Linked DNA regions of Schizosaccharomyces pombe. The gene in region 1 interacts genetically with each later gene. Each region holds a gene or a part of one and is shown in the gene's direction. Other genes may lie near its edges.

Evidence for each region.
Region 2: of iml1 (region 1) and any1, changing one suppresses a phenotype caused by changing the other (phenotypic suppression), as found in Schizosaccharomyces pombe (one study listed by BioGRID).
Region 3: of iml1 (region 1) and pub1, changing one suppresses a phenotype caused by changing the other (phenotypic suppression), as found in Schizosaccharomyces pombe (one study listed by BioGRID).

The regions. Positions count from the first base shown.
Region 1 is NC_003423.3:3,945,428-3,957,597, reverse strand, and holds iml1 (GATOR1-SEACIT GTPase activating complex subunit Iml1), read left to right. Parts: upstream 1-3,788; 5' UTR 3,789-3,922; coding exon 3,923-8,413; 3' UTR 8,414-8,688; downstream 8,689-12,170. Other genes in the region: CIA machinery monothiol glutaredoxin Grx4, read right to left, coding at 1-94; pph3 (serine/threonine protein phosphatase), read left to right, coding at 1,669-1,738, 1,854-2,308, 2,362-2,883; phosphatidylethanolamine N-methyltransferase Cho2, read right to left, coding at 8,820-11,537.
Region 2 is NC_003423.3:1,805,952-1,815,326, reverse strand, and holds any1 (arrestin-related substrate adaptor Any1), read left to right. Parts: upstream 1-5,007; 5' UTR 5,008-5,839; coding exon 5,840-6,925; 3' UTR 6,926-7,069; downstream 7,070-9,375. Other genes in the region: Tf2-9 (retrotransposable element/transposon Tf2-type), read left to right, coding at 1-2,579; phophatidylinositol 3-kinase complex subunit Vps38, read right to left, coding at 7,347-8,363, 8,428-8,598, 8,829-9,065.
Region 3 is NC_003424.3:3,958,574-3,969,082, forward strand, and holds pub1 (HECT-type ubiquitin-protein ligase E3 Pub1), read left to right. Parts: upstream 1-4,492; 5' UTR 4,493-4,749; coding exon 4,750-4,766; intron 4,767-4,817; coding exon 4,818-4,840; intron 4,841-4,891; coding exon 4,892-5,036; intron 5,037-5,178; coding exon 5,179-7,297; 3' UTR 7,298-7,599; downstream 7,600-10,509. Other genes in the region: SPOM_SPAC2F3.16 (ubiquitin-protein ligase E3), read left to right, coding at 1-33; protein Mtl2, read left to right, coding at 1,325-2,935; isocitrate dehydrogenase (NAD+) subunit 1 Idh1, read left to right, coding at 8,262-9,332; ubi1 (ubiquitin-60S ribosomal protein L40 fusion protein), read left to right, coding at 10,436-10,509. UniProt on the Schizosaccharomyces pombe protein: E3 ubiquitin-protein ligase which accepts ubiquitin from an E2 ubiquitin-conjugating enzyme in the form of a thioester and then directly transfers the ubiquitin to targeted substrates. Regulates ubiquitination of cdc25.

The DNA.
Region 1 (12,170 bases):
CCCATGGTGCATAAAAATTGAGTAAAATTATTTGCTCTTTTCCATTTTGCAATATCTCTTGAAATTGTTCAACAAAAGTAATTTCGACGCTCATTTCCAATCAAAATAGCACAGCTTGAGGAATTATTTCTTTTCCTACTTTTTTTTTCAAAAACCTAGTTTATTCTTTTTAATCAACAATCAACGCCCTATTTTTTCCTAGTTGGTTGTCGGCAGGTTCGGCTGAGCAGTGTAGAAAACGTATCTAGTAAAATCTCTTCCTTGCACAATAGGCGACGCAAATGATATAATTGCAGCAAAAAACATATCCAAGTAAATTACTCGAAATTTTTTAGTTAAACCACTTTTGATGTACGTTTTGATGATTCTTCTTCACTTTTTTCATTGTCTATTCATTAAACGGCATTCTCGATCTCATTTTTTTAATTACCATCGTGACTGATCAGATAACTTTATCCCTCGGTATTAAAACGTCTGGAAAATAATTTTTTCGGCAAAAAAAACTAGTGTGTTGCGCTTATACTCCGATTCTACGTAATACCCAAACAATTCTGTTAACATTTTATTTTTGTATGTTGTACATAAAATTAACAGTCGCTTTACTAGCCAAATGAGTTTATAACAAGCGACCAAAACAACCAAGATGAGATATGTTTCATACTTGATAAAAACAACAGCATACACATTGATTGATATAGTTAAAGTATTAAAAAATTGCATTGTACTGCTCAGGGCAAGCATTTCTTACACACCTCATTCTTTTGATAGTACGCAAATTGCAGTAAACCATATTGAAAGATAGAAAGAATATATTTCTAAAATCTTTTTAGTTATTTGAACATCTTGAGTTGCCGACTGAACATAAGTAAAGAATAGTATGCAAATTATGTTAAAGCTTCACATAAATTATGGGTTTGCAACACGAATTGACTATACAGTTTTTCTATATTGAGTGTATATTCCGCCACAGGGGTACGCCTTCAGCATACAGATTATTTTACCTATAATTGTGAGTGTTATCTGATTTTTACCAAGAAGCTATAGTGTTATGTAGTTTATTTCACAAAAACCCTATAACATCAAAGCTGCGCATTTGTGCGAACAATTTAGATCCGTTAGAACTATAGGAGTTTTTCTTATAATCTAGATATATATATGAGTAGGTGCACGTTCTTGTATTAGCGTTATAAAAACTCAAGATCAATGATAATACGGCATGCTATAATAATCATACTGGAGTAGCATGCAACTTAATTAAAAGATTCTAGTTCATCATTAATTTTAAGTATAAATGATTAAAAAAAAACAATCTAATACAAAAACTTGTGTCCATTTCATTTCGAGATGAAAGCACTAATAATGGTGGAGCAACCGTATTTTTCTGAAAAACAATCTAGCGTAACGCAACGTATGTGTCAATAAAATTCGGAAGCTGCTAATTAAGGAGGTCATGTTAATTATTTTAAAAGTCATTATCAAAAGGAAAACCGAATTTTAGTCACCAAAGCTCTACGCGTCATACCTCTTGACAGAGGTATTTTGACTTATTTAAAATTAAATTTCTTAAATGATACATAAAGTTGAAAAAGAATTTCACTTGTTTATTTTCTTATTCTAAAGGACCAAGTTATTCTAGTTTTCTTTACTTTATGTTTTGACGAGTTCAAAATGACTGATTTAGATTTGGATTGGCAACTTGAGGAACTGGAGAACGGAAGGTTAATTCCAGAATCAAATGGTATGTATAATAGTATTTATAGAATAACTTTTATCTCCGTCGATATAACAACGATCATTCATATTGGTTGTTCTTTGCCATAATTATAAGAATGGGGTCTAACGTTTTGTGGTAGTTGTTGAACTTTGTCAGCGTGTAAGAGATATTTTAATTGAGGAATCTAACATACAATGGATCTCATCTCCTGTAACCATTTGTGGTGATATCCATGGCCAATTGCATGATTTACTGGAGCTTTTTCGAATTGGTGGGTCATGTCCAGGTACAAAATATTTATTTCTAGGGGATTTTGTTGATAGAGGGTTTTACTCTGTAGAAACATTTCTCCTGTTATTGACTTTAAAATGTAAATATCCGAAAGAGATGACCCTTATCCGGGGAAATCATGAATCACGACAAATAACACAAGTTTATGGATTTTATGACGAATGTGTAAGGAAATATGGTTCTGCCAATGTATGGCGATATTGTTGTGAAATATTTGATTATCTTTCGCTTGGTGCTTTGGTGGATGGAAAGGTTTTTTGTGTGCACGGTGGACTTTCACCAAGCATCAGCAGTATCGATCAGGTATGTTATTAATTCCGAAAATTTGAACTAAACTTTTAACGCTTTTTATGAAGATTCGACTGTTGGATCGAAAACAAGAAGTTCCGCATGAAGGAGCAATGTGTGATCTACTTTGGTCAGATCCAGAAGATATTAGTGGATGGGGTTTATCTCCCAGAGGTGCTGGATTTTTGTTTGGTGCCGACGTTTCTGAAGTTTTTAATCGCGCTAATGACCTTTCATTCATTGCTCGTGCTCATCAATTGGTTATGGAGGGTTACAAAATCCATTTTTCCGATAAAGATAAACAGTATCCCAAATTTACAAATGAAGAGGACTCTGAGCTGGATTCAGATTCTGCCTCACCTGTTGATGATTCTCCGGCACCTGGAGACATAATAACCATTCCAGAAAAGGATAAAGGAAGCGTGGTTACTGTTTGGAGTGCACCCAATTACTGTTACAGATGTGGAAATGTTGCTTCTATATTACAACTTGATGAAAACCAAACGCAATCCTTTAAGATTTTTGGTACTGCCTCTCAAGAAAGATCTGGCATTCCAACAAAACGACCCATTGCCGACTACTTTTTATGATTATTCAAAATTCATTGCTCTACTTCACTTCCCCAATATCATGTATATAGGTCAACTTGTACTAAAGATTATCCCCTTAACTCTTCTTATTGGTCTCTCATTTTTAATTCTGCACTTATTTAATTCTTGTTTATGGAATTTGGTTATTTTAGCAATATTGATTTGTTTAGGACATCATAAATTTAAAAAGTAATTAAGTTAAATTTTAATTGTAACTTTTTTAAGCTAACTTTCAACGCACAAGATTGTTTAGTCGCTTTCTGAAGGTAATTTAAAGTAGATTGCAAAATGCTCGGTTTTCAAACATTAATCCTCATTTGATCGAACTTCAAACCTGAATTCAGAAACTGGGGTGATGAATATCATTTTTTAAGCTTAATGCTGAAAATTTAATATTACATTATTGAGTCAGCTGGTTTGAGTCTTTGTAGTTTAGACTGCACCCCAATTCAACAAATCCGTTAGCCAAAAAATGAAATAAACAATTGGAATTCAGCCTCTGTTTCAATCACTGAATTGTAATCTAATATCATATATTGAAGTCAATAGAATAAAGTCAATGATATACGAGGTATAAACGTAAGAACACCTACATCTTAAACATTCGATATGATAGAAACATTTTTTTCAAATAAATTCTAAGTAATACAGTATCACAAAAAAAAAAAAAAAAAAGATAACGAAGTGCTTGCTGGTATATTAATGATTGTGTCTTAGACAATCAAGTATTCGTGCAAGTAGTATACATTCTGCCTTAAATTAAATATTTAGTCATGAGTCATATAATATACACAATTATGCTCTACCTTTATAAATGCAACATTTACTATTTGATTTTATGATAAGAGTAACCTGTGTTTACTAGTGCAATTTATCTTGGTGTTATACTGGATTTTTGCAGCTCTACCCCAACATCCGCCTAATCAAAATCAAACGTATAAAGTTGTGTAAAGAGATTATTTACTTCTTTTTTTGATACAATTCTTGTATTTAATTTTTTGATTACTGCCTTAATGGCGTAGGTTGTTCAATTCATGAAATGGCTATTACCTTGAACCTGTGGACGCACGAATCATCATTGTTTCCAAACGATGCAGTCTTAAATTATGATTTAGTACCTTCTGCTAAACCTGGTGATATTTTTGAAATAAGGGCCCAAAATGGTGATGAAATCGCTTTACAGCATAATCACTCAAGCACAGGGAAACTACATGCTAAACGTGAAAAAGAACCAGTATATTTGATGCCCTCCCCTTTAACAGATGATTTAAAGAGGCGACATCCGAATCTGCAACTTTCAGTTGTATCTCACATAAGCTCTTTGCTCAATATAAAAAATCGTGAACCGGTGGTTGTCAAAATTTGTGAAGACAAAACTAATTTAGAAGCCGAACATGTGGTAATTTTTTTTCGGGACCAATTTATATCTAGAAGCGATATGTGGAAGCTTTTTAGAGAATTATGCGGTAAATGCGTTTATCTAAAACAGCGTGTTTCCTTTATAGGAGATGTGCCTGGAGAAATTAGATGTATATGGAGAAAAGGAAAAAAATGTCATTCAGCGTACATTTCAGAACGCACTAAGCCAATTTTTCGGTCTGAAAGTGCCAGATTTCTAATTTTTATTCAAATGAGTGAAGAGATGTGGCACTTTGAAGAAGATGGAGAGCTCAATTATAACAAAGCAATAGATGGTTTTCTTCCTGATCTTTTTTCTTTTTGGAGAGACTTAGGAACTCATCATTTGGTTTCTATAATTTTGTTTACTCGTGTCGAGTACAGCCACCATGGGCCTATGTGTGTTTGGCAACCAAGGTCTCAAAAAAATAGTGAAAAAGGAAGTAGTATTTATCCACAAAATTCTTTCAATGCTTCTATTGATAACGAAGGTGGTCCTTACGAAGATTTTTTCAAGGTGGTGGTGGATAATGTTTCTAGCAGAGATTGGCAACCTGTTTTAGCAAATTTGAAACTAGAACTTGCAAAATTTCGACAAGATGTCATTGTTAGGAAAATTAAGGATGAAAATGGGAGAGAAATTGAGTATATATGCGGAAGGATGACAGGATCCCAAGAAGGCAACTTTTTGGAAGTCATTAATATGGCTGTCTTTCAATTTCAGTCAGATTATATCGACAGAGATTTATCACGTACTGGTACTAGTATCATAATAGTTACCCCAGGAACTGGTTTATATGAAGTAAATGAAAAAATGCTACACTTGACTTCTAAAAGCTTACTCAATACCGTTGTTGGTATGGATATCGTATCCTTAGGAAAAGTTCCTTTATTTCTAACGCCTATTGTTCGATACAAAAATCCGGTGAAAAACAAAAAAAGATCCCAACTAACCAGCAGAATTTCTTCTTCCGTTTCCCCTTCTAATGTAATACCAAATTCCTTAACGTCATCAGTTTCAAACTTCTCAGTGTCTTCCTTTTTGAATAATTTAAAGGAGGATACCGAATGGTTATATACATTTCCAATTGGCTGTAACATTAGTTTTTACAGTACTACGGAAATGAGGTCCTTACGTTCTCCTTGGGAAAATTTAATGCGAGAACATCAATTTGAGCCTACTGCAAAAATGCATGAATTACAAATGATGGGTGTACTGGAAGCCGAAAGTGCCAAAATTTCGATTCCATTATTACAGTCTGATCCATTGTTGAAAGGGTCTGTGTTCAGTGAAGAAGTGCAAGAAGATTACGATGAACGGCAATTTACTGGTGAGGCTGCTGTTAGTGCAAACGATGTTTTGAGCTCATCATCTCCTCGCCATTTCTCATCTCATACACCCGTTAATGTGGACAAAAGTTCTTACCTTGAGATGAATGGGCATAGTCTTTCTACAGTAATTTCAGGGAAAGAATCGATATCTAGTTTTGGAGCTAAAGTTGATGATCTTAAAAGCACCAGCAAAGAGTCGGCAAGACAGTTTGGTAAATCTGCCCTCACCGAAAGGCTACAGAAATTAGCTGGTAACTCTAGCAATGTATCGTCTTCCTTACAAACGTCTTCATCTAATAAGTCTTCACTTCTTACCAAAAAGTCTTCCTTTCCGGCTTTATTAAAAGGTTTCTTGGCTCTCCCCGCTACGGTTACTACTTCGGCAAACCCACTTGGTTTCAAATCTACAATTCAAAGACCTATTCCGATCAAAAATAATGAAGATAGTGATAGTTGCAAGGCTTTTAGTCAAGCTCCTCCAATAGCGACAAAAAAGCCCCCAACGTTTTTAAAGCCCAACAGTCCTGAATATGCTAAGACTGTAATTCCGAAAAGTTCTACCAATTTAGAGAATGAATATCAAACACCATGGAAGATTATTCAAAATCCTTTTAAACTGAAAGAGACAACTGCTGATAATGATCCCGTTTCTTTAAGATGGGAACATCTCTATATGAAAGTGCAGGATGTTAGGAAGTTTAATTGGCTTTCCATGTGTACTCCTGGTGCGCTTCCGTTAACTTTTAGTTACTTCCCTTCTGAAGAGGAATTGAATGATAAATTTGAGGAATACACATACACAATTGGAATCGATCCTGAATTTACTCAAATGAATCAACAGGAATTACTTGCTGAGATGATTTGTCAAAGATTATCACGTGGATATCAAATTGTGGTTAATCCAGCTGCCGCGGTCTCTTATAGCGGTAATCCCAAGGCCAATAAGGCAGGAACGATTACCGATTTCTCTCGCTCTGTAAATAATCAAAGAAATGGGCATTTAACAGTAGGCAGTGATGCAGTTTGCCTTTCTCTAGGCGATAGTCAGTTCCACAGGCTTTCATGTGATTCAGTAGGATACAATATTGAAGTAAAGCGTTATGTCAAAAAGGTTTCTGGTCAAGGTAAAATGAGATACGATTATAATTTTTGGTCTAAAAATGAATGTAAATATGTCAAGTCTAATATCACATTTTCTGCCAATGATTCCGCAAATTATAATTGGAATTACGTCGATCAATTAATATGTGGATTTGAGACTTATTTACCCGACTCTGTTAAATATTGGCGAGCCCGTTTTGTGTTGTTACCAATGTCTACTACATCAACACATGTTTTTCAAAAGTATCAATTGCTGGATCATGCGGATGCTCTAAGCGATGAAGAATTTAGAGTTGAAGGTATTTACAAGCTAAGTGAACTTTTGTATAAAGGAAAAATTGACCCCATGAATGACAGCAATAATAAAACACCGAATACTTCGCCTGCTGAACTTCTAGGAATCAAATTTACAACTTTACCAATGGCTCAGTATATTCACTCTGAATTAGAAGCGTTGCGATTGGATTCTTCTAGGAATGAACAATCATTGTTTATGCCTAATAAACGATTAGATTGCTCTGCTGACCTTCATACCATCGCTAAAGAAATTCAAGGGCCTGGTGGTCCTAAAATTGACGATATTACATGGCATTACAGAATTTATGAGAATTGTTTTCTTGGGAGTGAATTTGTTTCCTGGTTAGCTAATACCTTCATTGGTATCAATACTAGAGAAGAAGCTCTTAAATATGGAAATAAGTTGTTAAGCCTAGGACTCTTTGATCATGCATTAAAAAAACACCCTTTGTTAGATGGCTACTATGTTTATCGAATTTCACCCGATTACAGTATCAAACCTGTTTCAAACAGGCCATATCGTAGTTGGTTCAGTCGAAAAAAAGATTCAGGTCAAAAACATTTAGATAATAAAATAATAACAGAATCAGAAGCTGGTCCTTCTCGGTTAGAGTTGTCGAGACGCATTTTGTTTAATGCAGACGTTGAGAAAAAAAATGGGAAATCCGAAACAGTGACCGTCCATTACGATTTGCTTCATAATCCTGCCTCATGTTATCATATTCGCATTGAATGGTTATTGGCTACAGCAAGTGTTATCGAGAAGCTCCTTCAATCTTGGTCACGGATTTTAGAGCGTTATGGCTTGAAATTAGTGGAAGCTCCAATTCATGAAATTGCAGCCGTCGGAGAACTTAACCCCTTTGACCAAGTCTCGATCATTTCACTAGCGTTAGATCCTCCACCTATTCCTGAACGAGCGCCTCTGGTAAATGATCCAGTGAACTATTCTAAGAATTGGTGGAATGTTAAAATTCTTGAGCACTTTGATTTTATTTTAGACACCGAAGCAGCTAGTACGTTTCCGAAATCAATTACCGCAGTTTATTCTTGGGGAAAACCTAACTTTCGTTACGTACAATACATACACAGAACAGGAACTGTGCTAGTTCAAATTGATGATGATCAACGATTTTTGTGGCTTCCAAATCGCCTTCATAACTCAAAGGTTAGCAAATTGAGTTTCACCAAAAGCAACAAAAGCACTTTGAATCCTAATTTGAAAGAGACTGCTGAAGAATTAGAGCGTAAATTTAGGGAATTTTGCTCAAATAAAGATGAGCTGGATCAGTTTTATGGTATTGTGAATCATGCAAGTGATGATCGTCGTAGTATTTATTCTTCAGCTAGTACTCATGCTTCAAATGCTTCAGCAGATGATGCCTCTAATGTTAACGTATAATTATAATCAATTTCATTTTGACACGATTTCCATAACCTTTTTTTACCTTATTAGATTGTTATTACAGTTTTTATATACTTTAATATAGTCAACGTTTATGAATAATTTACTAAAGGTTATTTTTTTTGAGACTACATTTGGAATATACAAATTGTTCGGTATAGCTATTCAAAATTGGATTCAATCAATGATTAAAATTGATGATCTCAGGTTACCTAAATATCCATACATATTTATCTTTGGGGTTTTTTTTTTGAATTAAAAGATCATTTAAATTATACTTTTCATTTATTAAAATAAAGTATATATATTCAGTAACATTATTTGTCTAAAGCGGTTGAAGCTCACTAGTCATGTAAGAGCAAAAATTCATGTTGAATGAATAAATCATAAAATTGTTGAATATTTAATCATCTTTTGCACCGCTGGGACCATCAAAAGATTGTAAAATTTTTAAGGAATTGACGATTCTTCGAGATAAAGCGCTACAGCTGCCATCTACTTGAACAACGCGATAACTTAAATCTATGCCGAAGCTATACTTGATGATAGAAGTTAGTTTTCTAGCAGAACCTTCAGAAATATCGCACAAGGACGCATCACCATCATGCGGTGTTATATTAGGGTCACAAAATTTAATGGATTTAAGTAAATATGCTGAAACTTCATCCACGTCGGTAGTATTCATTGAAGTTGCAGTGATCACGAAAGGTTCTGTTTTTGCCATAACTAAATGCTTTCCCCCATAATGATAACGGAATTCAAACGTTCCGGTTTCCCAAAATAACAGATCTCCGGAAAACTCAACTTCTCCAGAATTTTTGTCATTCGAAAGTGACTTTATACTGGAACAATGAGATGTGTAGCCATTGGCATCAATCGCAGACCACCGACCTTCACTCGAAGTTTGAGTATAAAGATCGCTCGCATTGTCAGATAATTTATAAAGTCCAATCCAATCGTTAATTTCATGATTCGGAGAAGCTGTCCAGCATACCGTAATGGGATGCCCCAATAGTACTTGGTTGTTGTCAATTCCTTTAATTTCTAACTTATAATCAAAATGAGTAGAGCTACTTAATTGAGGAGCAAACAGTTTGAGAATGGCGAGTTGTGCATTTTTACGAAGATTGCTTTCAGTTCCTTTCAATAATTCCTGTACTTTCGGTGGTGCAGTATTTACAAACTCCTCAAGAGCTTCTGCAGTTTGATCCAGAACCTTATCAACGGATGTTGTTAAAGCTTTCATATGCGTCTCGACTGTTTTTGGAAGAATATTTCCTTTTTCAGAAGTAGCCTGTTTAATCAATTTAGAAATACCGGCTTCTTTACGAAGAGTGTTTCCATAAACTTTCTGCATATGTGGCTGTTCGACTAAACGGATAATTGCTAGATTAGAAAGTTGTGCTAGAATTGCGATTAAAAATATCCAAGCAGAACTGCTGATCAATGCAAGACCCCAATAAGCCGAACAACCAAGGAATCGCTCAGGATTGTTAACATATCGATAAATTCCTTGATAAACAAGCTTGGGTGATCGGCTAGGTAAAAAGAAGTCACCGTAAAACCAACCATATTGCCCTAGGTCTTCATATATTGAGACAGATGTATAAATATGTAAAGCAATCAGTCCAAAACCTAAGGCATGTCTTAGAGACACAAGTCCATACGTCCAGTTTGAAGGTAAATGATACAATTTCCAAGCAGCCATAACAAAGGAAATATAAGACATGTTCAATGTAAGATTATATAACCCCTTCCATTGGGACCATGCATAAGCAGCAGATTCACCATTTCTGATAAAATGTTTGGTCCATGCTTTGCTTTTTGATTGGTAAAAAAGAATAAAAGCATGAATTATGGAATGCAAGAAACGCCAAACAAAAGCTTGAAATATAGCCCAAAACTGACTATAATGAGAATTCGACGATAACAAAATTATGAAAATACTATACAAGGCTATGATAAGCAAAGCGACATCGGAAATCCTAGTGAAATCAAAGTTGACAAACCCAACTAAATCATGTTCTGGAGGTAATTCAAATTCATTGTCTTCACCCCGTGGAGACAATCTAGCATGATTGATGTCTGTACCATATGTTCTCTCAATATGGGGGTTTTCAACAAACAGTAAGAAACCAAATTGAGCAGCATGTGCGAGGATGCTAGCAAAAAGAACTGCATAACTACCAGTTAAAAGACTCATACCATAATAACCAGCATAACCTACAGAATACATGGGATGAGGAGCGAGCTCAAAAACTCCGTTGAAAACCAAAGAAGAGCGAAGCAAAAAGAAAAAATCACCCCAATACCAAGCGTAGTCGCGAACAACTCTATGAGCATCCATTTTTACCCAATAGTTGAATACAATAAGCGCGATACCTCCAAAAATCCTCAAAAATTGAAGAATGATATTAACCTTCGGCCAACAAGTCCATGCCAATCCCATCAAAATGTATGAGCAGAAATCGCACATGAGAATTAAATCGACGAAGTGACGGAATACCAACCAGGAATTAAACTCAAGAGGGGAAGTATCATAGTTATAACTAGAGTCCATCTTAGATATAAGTTGCTTTTTTGTTAAATCATAAAGCTTCGGGTGATTTTCTTTATCAAAAAAACCAAAGTCAGAAATCCAAGTGACAACTTTTCTATGATTCGATTGCATATGTAGCAAAAAACCTATACCAGCATCATAACTGATTCTCCAAAAAAAGAAACAAAGCATCATAGAGTAACGACGAACTGCACCGGTTGTCATAAAAAACAGAAGTACTTGAGCAAGGATAGATGAAATGACAATCCAATCCCAGGGTGTCTTAGAAAACCGAGGATCTACAGTTTCTAATATACTTCGTCGATTTTCTTGTTCTTTTGGTAATAAGAAAACTTTTCCTGACGGTGTACAACCATAACGTTCAGGTTCAGAGTGATCAGCTTCGGCATTCAAACTACTTTCTGCTTGCTCGATTTGATTAGTTTGTTGCAAACCATTGCTATCAATATTTTTTCGGCGAACGGACGAAGATTTATCCATATTTGGAACTGCATCAACAGAAGTAGATTTTGAGCTTCCAAAATCTGCCGCTGAAGATGCAGACGGAATTTGGTTGGTCATATTTGAATATATGGGTATTTTATCAAAACTTGACTTTTTAGTATCAATAACCTATAAATACTTTATAAAAATTTATAAAGAAGTAAAAGAATATATGATTCTTAGATCTAGATATAGAAGTTTTCTATAGAAAGCAATAAGCCTGGTTAATGAATGATGAGAATGTATAAAAGATGCCTTAAATTTGGTATTGAAAGAGAGATGATAATGATGATAAAAAATTTTCTAAAAATGATTCATTTAGACTTAAAATCTAGTTGGCCAGTTTATAATTTGGTTTCTGGTGTCCGTGATCCGTTGAACACGAGTTTGGTAGACACTAGCTATTGTCGCCCTGTAAGCGTAAACTAATATGGTTGAGGTATCATTATTATTTCACACAAGTAAACTTAGCGAACATTCGCTAAAAGATAATGTTGATTTTGCTTTAAAAGCAGTCAAATAAAAAAAATACATTTTTAATTAATCATGATTCCAGTCATCAAATATGCAAGAAAGTATTTTATTTGAAACTTCAAAACTTGATATTCTTATAGTTTTAAAGAATTCATTTGTATTAGTTTTGTGCTGAGATTGTAAAGCAGCTTATTACTTTTATCGTTGAAGCGTTTAAAAGATCATTGTTTATTCCAG
Region 2 (9,375 bases), 2.1 Mb from region 1:
TCAAACCCAATATATATCCGTTACCACTTATTGAACAATTACTTGCTAAAATACAAGGTTCTACAATTTTTACTAAACTTGACCTCAAAAGTGCCTATCACTTGATACGAGTAAGAAAAGGAGATGAACATAAACTTGCTTTTCGCTGTCCTCGTGGAGTTTTTGAATATCTAGTAATGCCTTATGGCATATCTACAGCTCCAGCACATTTTCAATACTTTATCAATACAATACTTGGTGAAGCCAAAGAATCACATGTAGTATGTTATATGGATGATATTTTAATTCATTCAAAATCGGAATCTGAACATGTAAAACATGTTAAAGACGTTCTACAGAAATTGAAAAATGCGAACTTAATTATCAATCAAGCAAAATGTGAATTTCACCAATCACAAGTAAAATTTATAGGGTATCACATTTCGGAAAAAGGATTTACGCCTTGTCAAGAAAATATAGACAAAGTCTTACAATGGAAGCAACCTAAGAATCGTAAAGAATTACGACAATTTCTAGGTTCTGTCAATTATCTTAGGAAATTCATTCCAAAGACATCACAATTAACACATCCACTCAATAATCTTTTGAAAAAGGATGTACGCTGGAAATGGACACCAACACAAACCCAAGCGATAGAAAACATTAAACAATGTTTAGTTTCTCCTCCGGTGCTACGACACTTTGATTTCAGTAAAAAGATTCTACTGGAAACTGATGCTTCAGATGTCGCTGTAGGAGCCGTATTGTCTCAAAAACATGATGATGATAAATACTATCCTGTTGGATACTATTCAGCAAAGATGTCTAAAGCACAATTAAATTATAGCGTATCGGACAAAGAAATGCTTGCAATCATTAAGTCTCTCAAACATTGGAGACACTATTTAGAATCCACTATCGAACCTTTCAAAATTTTAACAGACCATCGAAACTTAATTGGTCGCATTACTAACGAATCCGAGCCTGAAAACAAACGTTTAGCTCGTTGGCAATTATTTTTACAAGACTTCAACTTTGAAATTAACTACAGACCTGGATCAGCAAATCACATAGCTGATGCCTTATCCAGAATTGTTGACGAAACAGAACCAATTCCAAAAGATTCAGAAGACAATAGTATCAACTTTGTTAATCAAATCTCGATAACCGATGATTTTAAAAACCAAGTGGTTACAGAATATACGAATGATACAAAATTGTTGAATTTACTAAACAATGAAGACAAACGAGTGGAAGAGAATATCCAACTCAAAGATGGCTTACTAATTAACAGTAAAGACCAAATCTTATTACCTAATGATACTCAGCTGACTAGGACAATTATTAAAAAGTATCATGAAGAAGGTAAATTGATTCATCCAGGCATTGAACTTCTTACAAACATTATATTACGTAGATTTACGTGGAAAGGAATAAGAAAACAAATACAAGAATATGTACAGAACTGCCATACATGTCAAATAAACAAATCTAGGAATCATAAACCTTATGGACCTTTACAACCAATTCCCCCATCAGAAAGACCTTGGGAATCTTTATCAATGGATTTTATTACAGCTTTACCAGAATCATCTGGTTATAATGCACTTTTCGTGGTAGTTGACCGATTTTCAAAAATGGCAATCTTAGTACCTTGTACGAAATCCATTACAGCAGAGCAAACAGCTCGAATGTTTGATCAACGAGTTATTGCTTATTTCGGCAATCCAAAAGAAATCATTGCAGATAATGATCATATTTTTACTTCCCAAACGTGGAAAGATTTCGCACATAAATATAATTTCGTTATGAAATTTTCGTTACCATACAGACCACAAACTGATGGACAAACTGAGCGTACAAACCAAACTGTGGAGAAATTACTAAGATGTGTATGTAGCACACATCCAAATACATGGGTAGATCATATATCCCTAGTGCAACAATCTTACAACAATGCGATACATTCAGCAACTCAAATGACACCTTTTGAGATAGTACATCGCTATTCACCAGCTTTATCACCTTTAGAGTTACCTAGCTTTAGTGACAAAACTGACGAAAACTCTCAGGAAACGATCCAAGTATTTCAAACAGTTAAAGAACACTTGAATACAAACAACATAAAGATGAAAAAGTATTTCGATATGAAAATACAAGAAATTGAAGAATTTCAACCTGGAGACCTAGTTATGGTCAAAAGAACGAAAACAGGTTTTCTTCATAAATCCAATAAATTAGCACCTAGTTTTGCAGGACCGTTCTATGTGTTACAGAAGTCGGGTCCAAACAACTATGAATTGGATCTTCCAGATTCAATCAAGCACATGTTTTCATCTACTTTTCATGTTTCTCACCTAGAAAAGTATCGACATAATTCAGAACTCAATTACGCTACCATTGATGAGTCTGATATTGGAACAATTCTTCATATCCTAGAACATAAAAACAGAGAACAAGTACTCTACTTAAATGTCAAGTACATTTCGAATCTAAATCCGAGTACTATTATGTCAGGATGGACTACATTAGCTACAGCGCTACAAGCGGACAAAGCAATTGTCAATGATTATATTAAAAACAATAATCTAAATATCTGAGAACATATGACTTATCCTCAGATTTACATAGAAAATCTTGGGGAGGGCAATGTCAGCAATACTACACTACGCTATAATACACTACGTTGAGTATCACTATATGTCACATGTTCTAATTATATATCGTACCATGTATGATACGATATGGAGATTGATCTTAATGATAATCTATTAAGATCAATATTATCTGAATACTATAAATAGAGCTACTGCTGAACCTCGTTCCTCAGTTCAGTTATGAGCTATATTAGTGATAGGTAACATTATAACCCAGTTAATACAATACCTATACTCAGTTGCTACTTATACAACCTGTGTATTGTAATATAATAGATCACAAGGAAAACTCACCGCAGTTCTACGTATCCTTAAATCAGATACCAAACTGCGTAGCTTACATTAATGAAGCAGAATGAAATTCACTAATCTTTACAGATTTTTTTAATAATACCGTTGCATACAAATACATAGGTAAATGAATGGACTAAGAGTGTTTGAGCATGTACACTGTTCTGTACTGTATAAGTTTAATAATATTGTAAAGTTTGATCTTTACAATGTCCTTCTTTTTCTTCTTTTTCTTTTGCCCGTTTTGTTTGTTTTTGCTCGGTCTATGATAGAATTCGATGATACCTATCCAGAGTCAGTAAGTAAGGTAAGGTAGGGCAAAAAAGGGTAGGTAAAAAAATCTGATGTAGCTGTTTAAGTGGAAATTAAAGATGATGAGAAAATTCGACGACATTTATAAGATGAAGGTTTCAGTGTTCCATACGTTCTTTGTTACCATGATTCTTTGTTTTCTAAAGCGGGAAACTTACGGGAATAATTTATAATACTGCGCAGTTATGTTATGTTGGCCATAACGAGAGCGATGATGAATCATAATGATCCATCATGGCGATCAAATGAGACGGAAACCAAAAAACCGTACGAAGATGGACACCGATTGGAATACAAATTCATAAGGAGCAAGTGTCAGTAATAAGAGAGTGATATTAATGATGAAAGAATAATATCAACAACAAAAAAAGTAACATTATTTGTGAATGAGTAATATACGCTGCGTACGTAGCAATGTTGCATGTCAAAAACAGAAACAAAATTAGAGATTGTGTGCCAGTGCAAACAAAGAGGCCTTGTAGCATAAGAATCGCCAAATTGCAATGGGCTTATTAAGAGTATTTTTGATTACTTACATTCACTCTGTCAGCGAGCCAGACCTTCCCAGAAACCGCCTCTTCGATCAACCCATTTGCCTCATTTGTTGATATTTGCACTGTTTGTCGGTAAACACATTGCTTGTTTTCACCATTTGCTGCTCTCGAGCCTCCCTTGTCTTCCTCGATCCGAAATATACCGTCTTGCTAATTGCAATAAGTTACAATTCCAAATCTCCTTACTACGTTGCTGCCTTAGGATTGTGCCTTATTCCGCGGAGAGCATTCACGGAAGAATTATAAAACTATTATTGTACACCAAATTACAAAAATGGACTTTAATTTAACAAAAAAATTTTTCCTTTCCTTCTATGGATGTCTTTGCTTTTCAACTTTTATCCTTTCTCTTTTGAATTAAAAATACTGATTGAACCTCTTTTTAATAATATTTATTTTCTTATATACGAACGGTCACAAGGGCATTATTCATCGGCTTCCTGCGTATTTTGCAGATCAGGCGGATACAGATCGACGGGATGCTCCTGACCTTATGAATAGACTGGTACGAGTAAGGCCAACTGTGATGATTTCTAATAAAACTAATAAGCAATTTGTAGCCTCGAAGCTTTTGCGCTGGTAGGTTACAATAGAGTATTTCTTGCAACAGTAGACACCTCTCACTTGCTACGTATTACTTGTGGCGTGGGGACATACTGAGCTTATGGGAGGAAACAAAACAATGACAGTGAGATCAGATCAGATTTAGCACCATGAATATGATTGAGAATTCCTTCTATCCATTTTTGTAAACTTCTCAAGGAAATATTATATTACACAGGAAATCATTGTATTTCTATCGGTATATTATCATACACCAAAATCTTTAGCGGTTAACTTTCTCGCACTGTATACACAGCTTTTATAAAAAATTTCGTTCTCTTGCTTTTTAACAGATATTTTCCTTACATACATATTTCAATTTTCTGCACAAGCTCGTTTCACTTTATTCCGTTATTAATTGATGTAATCGTCTCATCGCGGCCCTCTTTCATCAAAAAATTCGTCACTTATGGAAACACGGTTCTCTGCATTAATTCGTTTAGCGTAAACCTAATCACCGTTATTCCAGAATAACATTAACGGAAATAACATGCGAAAACAATTACACGAGATTATTTTTTATGACGCAAAATCTTGATACCGTAACTTCTATGCGCCTCATTAAAATAAATTTTGAGCAATCATCCCATCTCTTCATGTTTTTAACATTCACCGTGAACCAAGTATTTTCTAGTGATTCTTGAAATCAAAAGGGCTTTAAGAGATCGATTTCTAGTGAAATCGCTCGTCAGTTTTGTCTTGCTTTTTCTCTAGATTTTGGTGTTCAATCGACTTGGTTTGCGTGGACTGCTGATCTATTGCGAATCTTGCGAATATAAACTGCCCATCGAACCTCTCATTTTCTCTAGCCTTGGGTTTCTTTTCATTTTTTCAGCTCCTCTTAAGAAGGTGTGTGCTCTACTTTAATTGACAGTCTGCTATTTTTTTTTAATTAGCTTGTTCTTACACATTTTTGGGTTGATAATTCACATGAGATTTTGAATTATTAAAACAAAAACATCATCACTAAGGGAGACATAAAGCAAACTCATAAAGTTCCTTTGTTCAGCTTTTTTGTTACCTTACATCCCTGTGTTAAATTCAAGTCGGTTTACTTCTTTCTCATCAATTGGATTACTATTACTTTCTACGGAAGAAGAATAGGTATAAATCATCTTCAAAAAAATTTGGATAATAGGCGAAAGAAAAAAGTCGTTGGTTGTTTGGTTTAACGACTTTTTTTCTTATTTCCATACTTCGTTAATTCTTTCTTCTCTTTAATTTCCTGGTGGGTTTTTCCTTTTCACATTTTTTAAGTTCAATTTAGCAGTGTTCTTCCACTGTAGGGTTTGGTTTTTTTAGGTGTACTTGGCATTTTTACACACATTATTTTATTCCTGGTTTATCATTTCATACTGGTAATTTTTTTTAAAAAATTTTCCATTTCTATTTTTTTTTCCATTCCTTTGTTTTACCGACAAACGCTTAGATTTTCTTATTACTATGCCATTAAAACTTGCACTACCTCGTTCAACCACGCCAAAAGACCCTGCTCGCTGTACGTTAGATATACGTATGGAATCACCGCCGCTGGTATTCCTTGGCTCGCCGGAAACGTCTAGTGGTGCACTTGCGTCTGGCATTTTAAAACTGACGATTTTACATCAACCTTTTATTAAAGTACATACCCTCAAGCTGCAACTCATAAAAAGGATCACCGTTCTTCATCCTGCAATCTCTCATTGTTCTGCTTGTGCGGGTTCAAAAGAGGTTTTACAGACTTGGGATTTAGCTGCAAATACCACATATAGACCTGGTACTCAGCATTGGCCTTTTAGTTGGCTTTTCCCTGGTTCGCTTCCTGCTTCGGTTTCTAACAGATACATCAAGCTTGAGTATTATTTAGAAGCTACGTTATGCTATGGTACTCCTGAAGGCGGAATTTCTCCCTCGAAGCCCGAAGTTCTTAAGTTTCCTCTCCAACTAAAGCGAGCTGCCATTCCTTCGCCTGATACCATCCATAAACGTATCTTTCCCCCTACGAATCTTGTTGCAAACATTACTTTGCCCAGTACCTTGCATCCTCATGGAGCTGCGCTTATGGAAGTTACCATGACTGGTTTTGCCCAAAATGACGGCAACGATTGGAAGATCAATAGAGTTACTTGGAGATTGGAGGAGCATATGCAGTTTAGTTGTCAACCATGTGAACGCCATCGTGATTTGGTAAAACCTCGACCTATTGAAGAAAAAAGAATTTTGAGTACACAAGATTTACAATCGGGATGGAAGTTCATTGATAATCAGATGTTTCTATCTACTCAAATTAACACATCTTCTTTAAGAGAGCCAAGCTGTGACGTGGAAATTCCTGCCCCTTTTTCCTTAAAAGTCTCTCATCATTTAATTTTTGAGACCATTGTTAATAGAAAAAAGAACGTTGCGGGAAACAATATGGGCAATGCCCGTATCTTACGAGTATCAGTCGTTCAGCCACTTACCACGCCAGCTGGTTTAGGTATTAGTTGGGATGAAGAATGCCCGCCAGTTTTTGAAAGTGTAGGACCCGCTCCGCCTGCCTATACCTAGAATATGTGGGTCGGATGTAACCGGAAGAGCTCGATCACCATCACATAACTATCAAAAAATGAACATGGCTCTTTTTATTTTTTAATTCACAAGTTTTATTAATTTAAGGGAACTATTTATAATATCTACATTCATCATTATCTGTTTATTTTTATATTTTAAACGTAAATGCATTGTATAGTAGTTGTCGCAATGACAATGAGTAATATGCCTTCGGCAAATGTCCATAAAAACTCTTCATTAAGATGATTAAAATTAAACCGTGAAATGGGTATATGAATTTCCAACAAAGAATACGAAAACGAAATTGATTGTTGAGAGTAAACTAGGGTGAAAAGATACAATTAAACGATAGACAAGTTATGCGTAGTTTTGCAATTAACGATAATTTAGGCTTATGGTGCCTAAGCTTATGGAATTGTTAAGGAGCGGTAGACGTTACTTGTACAAAAGATAGATGTTGTCCTGATAAAATAAATTGGAGCAGTTTTTTAAAGTTCCTGAGTATGTCCATGGATTGGTCAATAGGTAATCCAAAAGTTTCTAAAAAATCATTTACATCCTGGTTGAGAAGATAAATGGCATGTTCAAAAAGCTCAATTGGTCGAGTTGCTGGATAAAGGGGAAAGATACGCGTGGGGATGTCGGGTGTCAATGTATCCAGGATGGAGGATCTCGAAGATGCGCAAAGAATTGGATAAGCGAGTTCTTTTTCGAGATACTTTGAAAGAGTTTGAAGTAAATGCGCCAAAAATCCTATGGAAGCAGCCATTTCCACATTATTAATTTTATCTGGCTCAAAAGATAGGCGGAGATTGCGAATTGTAAACTCGTCATGATTGCCAGGCGATGGTTGGATTGGGTAAATTTTGGAAAGATGGGAAACGTGCATACGAATAGCATGTGCCATAAGGATTCGAATCTCTATATTGGTCTCTACTTTTGTTTTTAAAGAATTGGCAAGTTCCACATACTCAGCTTCATCTTTTTGAAGGGATTCTTTGGATTTGTTCAAAGTGTTCCTTTTTGAGGATAACCAGCTTTTCGTCTTGTCAAATTTCGTCCTCATCTGAGTGATGCTATTAATTTGTTTTTGCCAAAGATGTTCTAATTTAGCCAGTTCATCGATTTTTTCATCCCGAAGTAACATCCTTTTGTGCATCAAACGTATCTGCTGAAACTCCTCCTCCTGAAAATGAGCTCGAATTTCATGTTTAGCAATGTGCATTTCATCTATGCATTCAGCCAGTTTCAAAATTCGAGTGATTTTCTGAATAGTGTAACCATCCTTCCGCCTGTCTATAGAATATGTGGAGGCACTTTTTGGAAAGGAGGTCTGTCTCATAATATCCGAAGACTGGGATGTTGTGTAGATGTAAACGCCATCATTAAATTCACATAAAAGACCGTTTCGAATATGACAAACTGCAAAAACAGGCTACAAATAATATGTTAGTCAACACAAGGGAAACATAAGGTAAACCAAAAATATTCAACCGTACATCATTACCAATATAACGAAAATTACTGTCATATCTCAAAATTTTCCATTCTTTATGTAGCTTGAAGGCATGACTACTTGATGAGCACCAAGTCCTCACGATAAAGTACTCTTCGTGACGGTATTTTTGAAGCTTTTCGGTTACTTTTTCATCGACGTAAAAGATGTGATTCTAATGAGAGGTTAGACACAAAGAACATAAATACATACAAAATTTGTATATGGGTAAAAGAGATACAAGGTATAAACTATCAATTGAGGGCTTTGTTTCAAGGATTTGAGCAACGAAATTTTGGCAAATCACTTGTATAAACAAACTGATTAACCTTTTCAATCAAGCAAATAACCTAGATATAATGATACCATTCAGATACTTTTGTTTATCAAAGCATGTTCACATACAGCATTTCCGCTCGTTTCAGTAATATAAACAGGCAATTTCTTACTCTGCACATGCAATGATATAAAAATACGAATAGTTCCTTCGGAAATTGCACGTTTTAACTGCACATCTCGTTTCCACAAATTTTCCGTCGTATTGATCGCAAATTTGCTATGATTTTGAATTTCTTGAACATTTCTTATTTGTATTGATTTAAGCCTGGAAAGTCGGTAGTTTCCTGGTAATTCAAGCGACATTCTATCATGGTTAAAGCAATGAATGCTTTTGCTTCATCGCATCGCCCTACTTGGTAAACTCAGCTGAGTCTGGTGCTAGCGTAGGATAACAATATACTGGTTTAGTTCGTTATTGTCAGCAATACTACACTACGCAATGATACTCCACGTTGCATATCACTATATGTCACATGTTCACAATGTTCTATTTGCTCTATCAACTATTACATGATAAGTCATCAAGATGGAGATATAATATCATTCATGATAAGATAACTATCAGATATAATTCTTACTACTTCAAATATTATAAATTGAGAACAACTGAACC
Region 3 (10,509 bases), on another chromosome or scaffold:
TTTAATATTTTCGGGATTCACAGTTTTATATAGATTTTCTAACTTTATGAACTTCCTAAACTGTTACGATTATCCTATATGTACTATTATTTTGGAAAAGTTGCTATTTTCATTCAATTCTTTGCAAGAATTACGAATTTTTAACGTTTACCCCAATTGTCTGATTATATTTATTCCCTTTTCTCGTCCTTTTGCATCTACTTCTTATATGGTTTTTTTTCTCAACAAGTCAAGCGATGGTATGAAGTAAATCGCTTAAATTTCCTCGATGAAGAGAATTTCTGTTTTAATTAATCTAAACTCATCTACTTTTGTGTGAAGCTATGGTGTCTTGAAACATTCGCAAACATAAGGACTTTGCTTCATGCAATTCTGGGCCTCTCTCAATATTTCAATTTCCTGTTATTATGACTTATATGTTATTTGTCTTGATTTTTTTTACGGCTGGCATTCATTAAATAAAGAGTTTATTGTCATTCCATATTCATCTAATCCTTCAGATTCCTTTTAAACTGACTTTTTGTCTAGAAGATGCGATCATTCGTCAAGTTACTGCAACTATTCTTGTTACTTTTCTATCTGTCGTTGTGATTCTTTAGCAGCATCCAACTACAAAATTTTTTTACCACACTTGCAGTTGTCTCTTAAGAGCAGGTTTAGTAACGTGGATGGGTTGTTAGTCGGAGTTACTAGTCAGATGAAGCGATAATACTAATTTTCTACTATATCAATTTAATTTGGCATGAATAAAATTTCAATACATTGTTACTATGTAAGGTGGTTAACTCAATTACCGCGTGGAAACGATAGTGTCAAATGCAGCCATATGTTTCAAGCCAGTAGTAAATGGCATCTACTGTTGCGGATGTTTAGTAATTTAAAATTAGGGAAATCTATATGAATATTGCAGTATGTGAAAACTGTGGTAGCTTTCTCATTAAGCGCAAGTTAACGGCGATCTCTTTTTATCCAGCCATTTGAAATGAATAATTTGCCTTAGTAAAATTTCACCTGGTTCGTAACTTTAAGGTTCTTTGCTAGAGCATTGATAGGTAACATATTGGTAAGGTGAAAAAAAGCCTCGAAACTAACTCGGAAAGAATCCCCACATTGAAAAGTGCATCACCCTTACCTATAGGCAAAGCCAAGCAGGACCGCGACATTTTCTCTTTACCGCTTACTCTTCACCGTGCTTTTAAGGGAATTCATCAAGATACATTGAAATTGGACGAGATCTTATTATTTTTCTAGAAAAAAAATCCAACGTTCTTTTAAAAACTTCAAAAAACCTTCTTTCTGTAAGGGAATTCGCACGCAAGAGAAAATGTCATTCACGAACAATACTTCAAGTGTGGACACTTCCCTCAGCTCATCTGCTTCTAGCAGTATTCCGGCAAGCAGCTCTTCTGCTGCTGCTAGTACGAGTTTGAGTAGCTCAAGCGTGATTCCTTCTAGTTCGAGCTCTATGCTTTCATCGTCTAGTGCTACTGCAATTAGTTCTTCATCATCGTCTTCACCTCTTTCATCCTCATCTTTTACTTCTCCTGCTTCTTCTTCTTTTATCACATCTTTGGTCTCATCAAGCAGCCAACAAAGCTCTAGTAGCAGTGCTTCATTGACCTCTAGTAGCAGTGCTACACTGACTTCCAGTAGCAGTGCTTCCCCGACCTCCAGTAGTTCGAGTCACGCGCTTAGCAGCAGCAGTAGTTCTCTTGTCGCTAGTAGTTCCTCCAGTGGGATGTCCAGTAGTTCCTTAAGCCATTCGTCTAGTGTCCCATCATCTAGTTCTTCCTACCACAGCTCTTCCATGACTACGAGCGGCTTGAGTTCTTCAGCCAGCATTGTCAGTAGTACGTATCGAGATGGACCCTCAATAATCACATTGGTCTCAACTTCTTACGTTTCTGAAGTGGTGACCCCCACTACTACTAATAATTGGAATTCCTCCAGTTCTTTCACTTCCAGCACTTCGTCTACGCCTATTAGCTCTTCTTATTCTTCCAGTGGCACTTTGCCCAGTAAATCTAACAAGTCAAGCAATCATGTCGGCGTAGTTGTTGGTTGTTCTGTTGCTATTCCTGTTGGTGTAGTTCTAATTTTGATTGGTTTAGGAATTTTTCTTTGGAAAAGGCATCAACGGTCCAAACGAATTAAGGCTGAGCGCATGCAAGAAGTCGAGGAATACGGATTTAACCCCAATCAACCCTCCAATTTCCGTAGCCCAAATCGTGCTCCCTCTACTAATAACAGGTATCGTGGCTGGAATGGAAGCCCAACACCTGCTGCTGGAAACAATACTAACGGACGGCCTGTTGCTCCTAGACCTTCTGCCGGCGCTGGCGGAGCCAATCCGCCTGCAGCTTCTCAGCCCGGCCTTTTGGGTGGCAGTAGTAATTCAGCTGGTCCAATTGCAGCTGCTACCGCTGCTGGTGTCGGTGCTGATGCTTCTGATGCAGCTAATACTGGTGGAAGCTTTACTCGTCCTCAAGGAGCCCGTATGGTTAGACCGATTGGAAATCCACCTGATCTTTCTGCTTCTAACGAAGCTGAAGCTACAATGCCTCCATCTAATGGAAGCAACTTTTCTGAAGGTTTGTCTGCATCTCCGTTTGAGTCAGGCCCTGCTGTTGGTGCCGCTGGAGCTGCGGCCGAAGCTGCAGAACACAGTGGTTCTGGTTCAGATTCCTATCCAGAAGGTCCTTTAGCTACGATTCCTGAAAGTGACAGTGAAAGCATGGCTAGTGATTTAGCTGGAGAATCCTCTTACGGCTCGAGGGCAGCTCTGTCTAGTCGATCTCAAAGCAATCTTCTTTCCCCAACAAGCACTGGTGCTTCTAACCAGCCCAATTATTCACCTTTTGCTGACAACCCATCAAGTAGCAACGTTTCTATTCCTCGGTCGTCATCGGAAGCTCGCAGGTTGAACCTGTTTTAAAGTATGCGCTTAAACACTTGTTGCGATAGATTTAAGCAAAAATTATTTGTTTACAATTTCTGGATATATCCGTCGCTTAAAATAAATGCGTTAGTTACGCTTGCCTTCAATTGATGGTAGAAAGTCTTGCGAAGAAAAGCTTGCTCATCACTTTTTCGTATAACAACTTTTTCTTTATTCGGCTTTTACCTTTGTTTTTTACGAAAATCTTAAGTAATCGATCTTTTCAATCTTATTGCTATCTCTTTGTTTTACCGTTACTCACTCATTTCCTTTTTGCTTGAACAGTTTTATGGTATTAGAAATTCACATTCTCATTGCAAAGCTTTGTTATTATTATGGGTTTCGCTTATACCATCTCATACAATCAATTGGTCCGTCGGTTTACTTTCTTTAAAAAAGGAGTTATTTAGCAAACTATTTATCCTTCTTTCAAACTTTCTTTTTAAACTTAACTATTTGCTTTTTCTCATGGCCCTCTTTTTTTAAGAAAATTTCGTTGCTTGCATTTCATTCAAAGTCTTAAATATGTCATCTGGTTCCTTAACTTATTGCTTTTAAATCGACTTCATCTTTTGACTGACTTTTGAATTTTTCTTTCAATTGTTTCACTGTAGTGAGATACAACCCTTAAAAAAGTCTCTTTGGTTTGTTTATTCTTATCCTTTTCTCATTTGCATTTCATTACTTATCAATCATTTCTGTTTCATTCGCCGTTTCGCTTTGTTTTTTCATTTGTACATTTCTTTACAGAATGGCGAATTCTTGTCAAATGCGACGGAAAGCCAATTTTCCTGAATAGTGTAAAACGAAATGAAACTTTTAACAGCTACCTGTTTTCCATCCCATGGTTTCTTGTTATTGAAAGTGGATAGCAAATAGTCTTTATGACCAGCCATTTCAATTTTACTTTCAGTCGCCTAACCAATCTCGTTATCTCATTTCTTTGAAATAAATGTACATACTGTACTTTTTCCTTTTCTTTTCCTTCCGTTCCTTTTTCACCGTCTCGTATATGTAATGGAGCGTCACGTTCCCTTCGCTGCACTTATCGCTCTTACTCTTTCGTCATGTTGAGGACCATCTAGCTCTACTTTCTCTCGTGTGGCTGGATGTTTACTTAACTTTGTTTTGGCCAGCATGCTCGACTACTGATAATTAAAAAATAAAAATTTTGAGCATTGTCTGTTTAAGAGTTGTTGCTAAGTTCTGGCTTTATTACTTTTATTCGCGGCACTCCGTTTGCCTTCTTGTATGTACCTTTTACAATTCTTCGTTTCCTCTCTTTCTTCTCAGTTCTAACTATCACTTGAACGCAAAGTGGTTAGATATACATTTTCCTCATTCTTTCGTATTAAATCAATTTATTAAATGCTTATAGCTTGCAAATCATACATTGTGCTGCATGATATTTACTTTCGTAGTTAACACGTAAAACGTATTTTCTGTACGCCAAAAAAGATAAAGAACAATTTGGTAATCGCGTTGTATATATATAAGGAAATGGGTTATAATGCGTTAAGGATCTAATCTGCAAGACCGATTAATTCTCCTTTCAGCCAACACCACGCGAAATCCGACGGATTTCAAAATTGTGCGCTGAAAGCACGAATTTGATTAAGGATTCCTTTTGTAGTTCTTTTTTATTTATTTCGTTCCCGAAAAAAGCGTTTTTGTATCAAATAGAAAGGATAAAACGGCCTTAATTGAAAGTTTTTTTTGCAAGCACAAATACTTGACTTTCTTTGGGAAATTGGCTTTTTTTTATTATCCAAAAGCAACGCTGGTTTGAAATTTTACCATCTTTTCCCCCTATGTCAAACTCAGCTCAGTAAGTAGTTCTTTAACTGCTATAAACACATTTGCTAACTTTTATGATTAGATCTCGTCGAATTCGAGTAACAAGTATGTGATGACATTATTCAAATGCCCTGTGCAAACGCTGACCCAAAATAGTTGTTGCTGCTGATGGCCTTTACAAACGAGATGTGTTTCGTTTTCCTGACCCGTTTGCGGTACTAACAGTGGATGGTGAGCAAACACATACCACAACTGCTATCAAAAAGACGTTAAACCCTTATTGGAATGAGACTTTTGAAGTGTAAGTGTATATCCCAGGTTTTGACCTTTCCAAGTAACTTTTATGTATATCAATTTTAGTTGGGGTTTCTTCCAGTTTATCCCTTATAATTTAGCTAATGTTAACTTTTTGATTAAAAACAATGTTTCTAACAATTCTTTAGTAATGTTACAGATAATAGCACCATTGCGATTCAGGTGTTCGATCAGAAAAAATTTAAGAAAAAAGGCCAAGGCTTTCTAGGAGTGATAAATCTTCGTGTTGGAGATGTGCTCGATCTCGCCATTGGAGGTGATGAAATGTTGACCCGCGATTTGAAAAAGTCAAATGAGAATACAGTAGTTCATGGCAAGATAATCATAAACTTATCAACGACTGCGCAGTCAACCTTACAGGTTCCATCCAGTGCAGCATCAGGTGCACGTACCCAACGTACTAGCATTACCAATGACCCGCAAAGCTCACAAAGTAGCAGTGTGTCTCGTAACCCTGCTTCCTCTCGTGCTGGTTCACCTACCCGCGACAACGCACCTGCTGCTTCCCCTGCTAGTTCAGAACCTCGCACATTTAGTTCATTTGAAGATCAATATGGGCGCCTTCCTCCTGGATGGGAAAGACGTACCGATAATCTTGGCCGAACTTATTATGTAGATCATAATACAAGAAGCACAACGTGGATTCGCCCCAACCTAAGTTCTGTTGCCGGAGCAGCCGCAGCCGAATTGCATAGTAGTGCATCGTCTGCGAATGTTACCGAAGGTGTTCAACCTTCCTCTAGCAATGCAGCTCGTCGTACAGAAGCTAGTGTTTTGACCTCTAACGCTACTACTGCTGGTTCAGGAGAGCTTCCACCGGGATGGGAGCAAAGGTATACACCAGAGGGTCGACCCTACTTTGTGGATCATAATACGCGAACTACTACTTGGGTGGATCCGCGCCGTCAACAGTACATTCGTTCCTATGGCGGTCCTAATAATGCTACTATTCAGCAACAACCTGTCTCTCAACTTGGTCCTTTGCCAAGTGGTTGGGAAATGCGTCTTACCAATACTGCTCGTGTATATTTTGTTGATCACAATACCAAGACTACCACTTGGGATGATCCTCGTTTACCTTCGTCGTTAGATCAAAACGTTCCTCAATACAAACGTGATTTCCGTAGAAAGTTGATTTATTTCCTTTCGCAACCAGCTTTGCATCCTTTGCCAGGGCAGTGCCACATTAAAGTGCGTAGAAATCATATCTTTGAAGATTCGTATGCGGAAATTATGAGACAATCTGCAACCGATTTGAAAAAACGTTTGATGATTAAGTTTGATGGTGAAGATGGTTTGGATTACGGTGGATTATCCCGTGAATACTTCTTTTTGTTATCACATGAAATGTTCAACCCCTTTTATTGTTTATTTGAATACTCTTCGGTTGATAATTATACGCTTCAAATTAATCCTCATTCTGGCATTAATCCAGAGCATTTGAACTATTTCAAGTTCATAGGCCGAGTCATTGGTCTCGCAATTTTCCATCGTCGGTTTGTTGATGCCTTTTTCGTTGTTTCTTTTTACAAAATGATTTTACAAAAGAAGGTGACGTTACAGGATATGGAAAGTATGGATGCAGAGTATTATCGAAGTTTAGTCTGGATTTTGGACAACGATATAACCGGTGTTCTTGATTTGACCTTTAGTGTCGAAGACAATTGTTTTGGCGAGGTTGTTACGATTGATTTGAAGCCGAATGGTCGAAACATTGAAGTTACAGAAGAGAATAAACGCGAATATGTTGATTTGGTGACTGTATGGCGCATTCAAAAACGTATAGAAGAGCAGTTTAATGCATTTCATGAAGGTTTTAGTGAGCTCATACCACAGGAACTGATTAACGTGTTTGACGAGAGAGAATTGGAGTTGTTGATTGGAGGCATTTCCGAAATTGACATGGAGGATTGGAAGAAGCATACGGATTATCGTTCATACAGTGAAAATGACCAGATTATTAAATGGTTTTGGGAACTTATGGATGAATGGAGTAATGAAAAGAAATCCAGACTTTTACAATTTACCACTGGTACTAGCCGAATTCCTGTCAACGGGTTCAAAGATTTGCAAGGAAGTGATGGCCCCCGTAAGTTTACTATTGAAAAAGCTGGTGAACCCAATAAACTTCCCAAGGCCCACACCTGTTTCAATCGACTTGATCTTCCTCCTTATACTTCGAAAAAAGATTTGGATCATAAATTGTCCATAGCTGTTGAAGAGACGATTGGTTTTGGTCAGGAGTAAAATGGATAGCTAGCTATTGATTACTTTTGATATTTGAACTATTGGTGTTTAACAGTGAAAAAGAATTTCTGTGTAAAGTTTCCGAAATTATTTTTTTTTTCTCATTTGAGTGAAAATACTTGGATCATCATGTTCTACCTTTGTGTTCTCTACTACCATTTTCCTTCTTCTTTTTATACTTGTTTGCAAACACATTTCCTCTTAATGCTCTTCGCACAAAACATATAAGTTAATTTACTATTATTAAGTTACGTACTGCATAAGTGATTTTATATTTATGAAATTACCGCCCTTTTTCAACATTTTATTTGAAACTGTGAGTAAATAGGTAGTTAGTTGGTAAGGTTTTTGTATCCTGTCCAGGTCGTTGCTTATGTGGTAGTTACCTGGTCACCGTAGTAAATAGATGACATGAAAAGTTTACCCACAACTATAGGCTTTATTGAATGAAAAGGGCTTATTAAGAAAACAATAGCCGCTTCAATACATGTGTAATCAGACCGCAGAGCTATGACAGTGAAGTTGTGTTTATTATCGTAAACATTTATCATTTGTTAGTAATAAGTTGAATGCTTATACATTGGTCAAAATTCAGTAATATCGAATTCGATAACTATGAAATCTCGTGCAAATATTTATTTTTTGGATGTGTGAACCTATAGTAAATAGTATAAATTCTTATAGCGAGTTAAAAAACAGTATAAACCTTGATATTAGAGTAGAAGGTGAAATATCGTGATACAACTACAAAAAGTATTCTTTTAAAGAGGTTAAAATGTCATTGGATAAGGTAACAGAATAAGGTTCGTAAATTGCTACCTTTAAGGAGAATTGGGCAGTGGGGTAATCGATGGATGTGTAGGTATTTGTTTGGGGGTCTCATCGGCTTTCCTTTACCAACCACAATAGCCTTGTAAAACAATCCTGTTTGCATGTTACAGAAAAGAAGTAAACAAGATACATAATGTTCAAATCACTAGTAAGAAAATCCTCAGCTTTTCAACCATTAAAGTATGGAGGTAAATACACGGTAACGTTGATTCCAGGCGATGGAATTGGACGAGAAACGAGCAATGCAGTGACAGAGATCTTTAAAACGGCAAACGTTCCTATCGAATTTGAAGAAATTGATGTTACAGGAATGGAAAAAAACAATAAATCGTCTGGAGACGCGCTACATGAGGCAATTCAATCTCTCAAGAGAAATAAAGTGGGTTTAAAGGGAATTCTGTTCACTCCATTTGAAAAAGGAGGCCATACCTCGTTCAATGTTGCCTTGAGAAAAGAACTCGATATCTATGCCTCTCTAGTGCTCATCAAAAACATTCCTGGATTTAAGACTCGTCATGACAATGTTGATTTTGCAATTATTCGTGAAAACACTGAAGGTGAATACTCGGGTCTCGAGCACCAGTCGGTACCGGGAGTCGTGGAATCTTTGAAAATCATTACAGAATACAAATCAAAGAGAATTGCACAATTTGCTTTTGATTTTGCCTTACAAAATGGCCGCAAATCGGTCACTTGCATCCACAAGGCTAACATCATGAAATTGGCCGACGGTCTCTTTCGAAGGACGTTTTACGACGTTGCTAACGGTTACGACGCTATTACTCCTAAGGATTTAATTGTCGACAATGCCTCCATGCAGGCTGTTTCTCGTCCCCAGCAATTCGATGTTTTAGTGATGCCGAACTTGTACGGTAGCATTCTTAGCAACATTGGAAGTGCTTTGGTCGGTGGCCCCGGTGTCATTCCAGGTGCCAATTTTGGTCGTGACTATGCTCTATTCGAGCCTGGTTGCCGTCATGTTGGTTTAAGTATTACTGGACGTGGGGAAGCCAATCCTACAGCTGCCATCCTTAGCGCTTGCTTGATGCTTCGTCATTTAGGCCTAAAAGATTATGCTGATCTTATCAATGCCGCTACTTATTCTGTCATTGAAGAGGGTAAAACCCTGACCAAAGACTTGGGTGGTTCGGCTTCCACTGGTGATTTCACGCATGCCATTTTAGAAAGAATGGAAAGCTTATAATTTAATTATTCCCCCCTTCCTTTTAAATGATATACCCTCCTGTTAATGAGTGTAATGAAAGCTATTGAAGTCTTAGGCTTTTAGCCGTGTCAACTACAATTTTGACGCTCATGTTACTACTCCTTTTCTCTAAGTAAGTTGAAACGTTTCGGAAGCTTTTTTTGATATTTACGTCTTCTATCAGTTATGATAACACCTCTTCCGTCGGCAAGGAACTCCTGCCTGACAAGAAGATGATGAATTTTTCTTACGTACGTTCCGAATATGATTGATATTTTAATTTCATTTTTGTGTGGATTTTCCATACTTTGTAGTGTCTGGTTTGTTCGTCCTTATTACTTTGTATTTGATGTAAATTATGGAATTCTACTTTTTATAGCATAAATGCCTGATTAGTCAATTTTGGAACGAAAAAGGTTTGATAATTTCCATTGTGCCTCCTCTAATAATCACAATTGCTAGATACGTCGATTTTCCAGAAAGATAGAGGATGGTAATTAGTTTCCTAAAACCCAAGTTTTATTTTTAAAATTTAGTTATGAATACTCTTAAAGAATAATTTAATAATCTTTAACAGGATTTAGATTAACATAGTGGTTCACAGTCTATTCATGTAGATTTACACATTCATCTATCTATGTCGATAACAGCAATGCACAGCCCTTAAATGTGAAAGATGTGTCTTTTAAAGTAGTAAAAGGTTAGTTCAAACACATTACTTAACTTATCTCCAACCTTCGAAGTCATTTATATTCCAGTTGTGTAAGCGACCTTTGCAACTATCGTCGTTCTTAGGTTCAACTAACAATATGCGCAACATTTCTATATAGGCTAATCGAAGGATGCCGGCTCCTCCTAATGCCTATCAATATATCCAAAAATTAGGAGACCATTTATCGTCAAAAATTTCTCAACAATAGCCATATCTTCTACCAGACTACAAAATATACCATAGTATTTTACTATGCGTTATAATATTTTACTGAATTTGTGCTAAGAAATTAATGTCCACCGCTAGAGGACGCACTAAACGTGACTGCTTTTTTCGGTAAGGGCTCTTACGGTGCTTTCAGTGAAGAAGGAATCCTTTGTCCACCACAATCATGCAGATTTTCGTCAAGACTTTGACCGGAAAGACTATCACCCTTGAGGTGGAGTCCTCTGACACTATTGACAA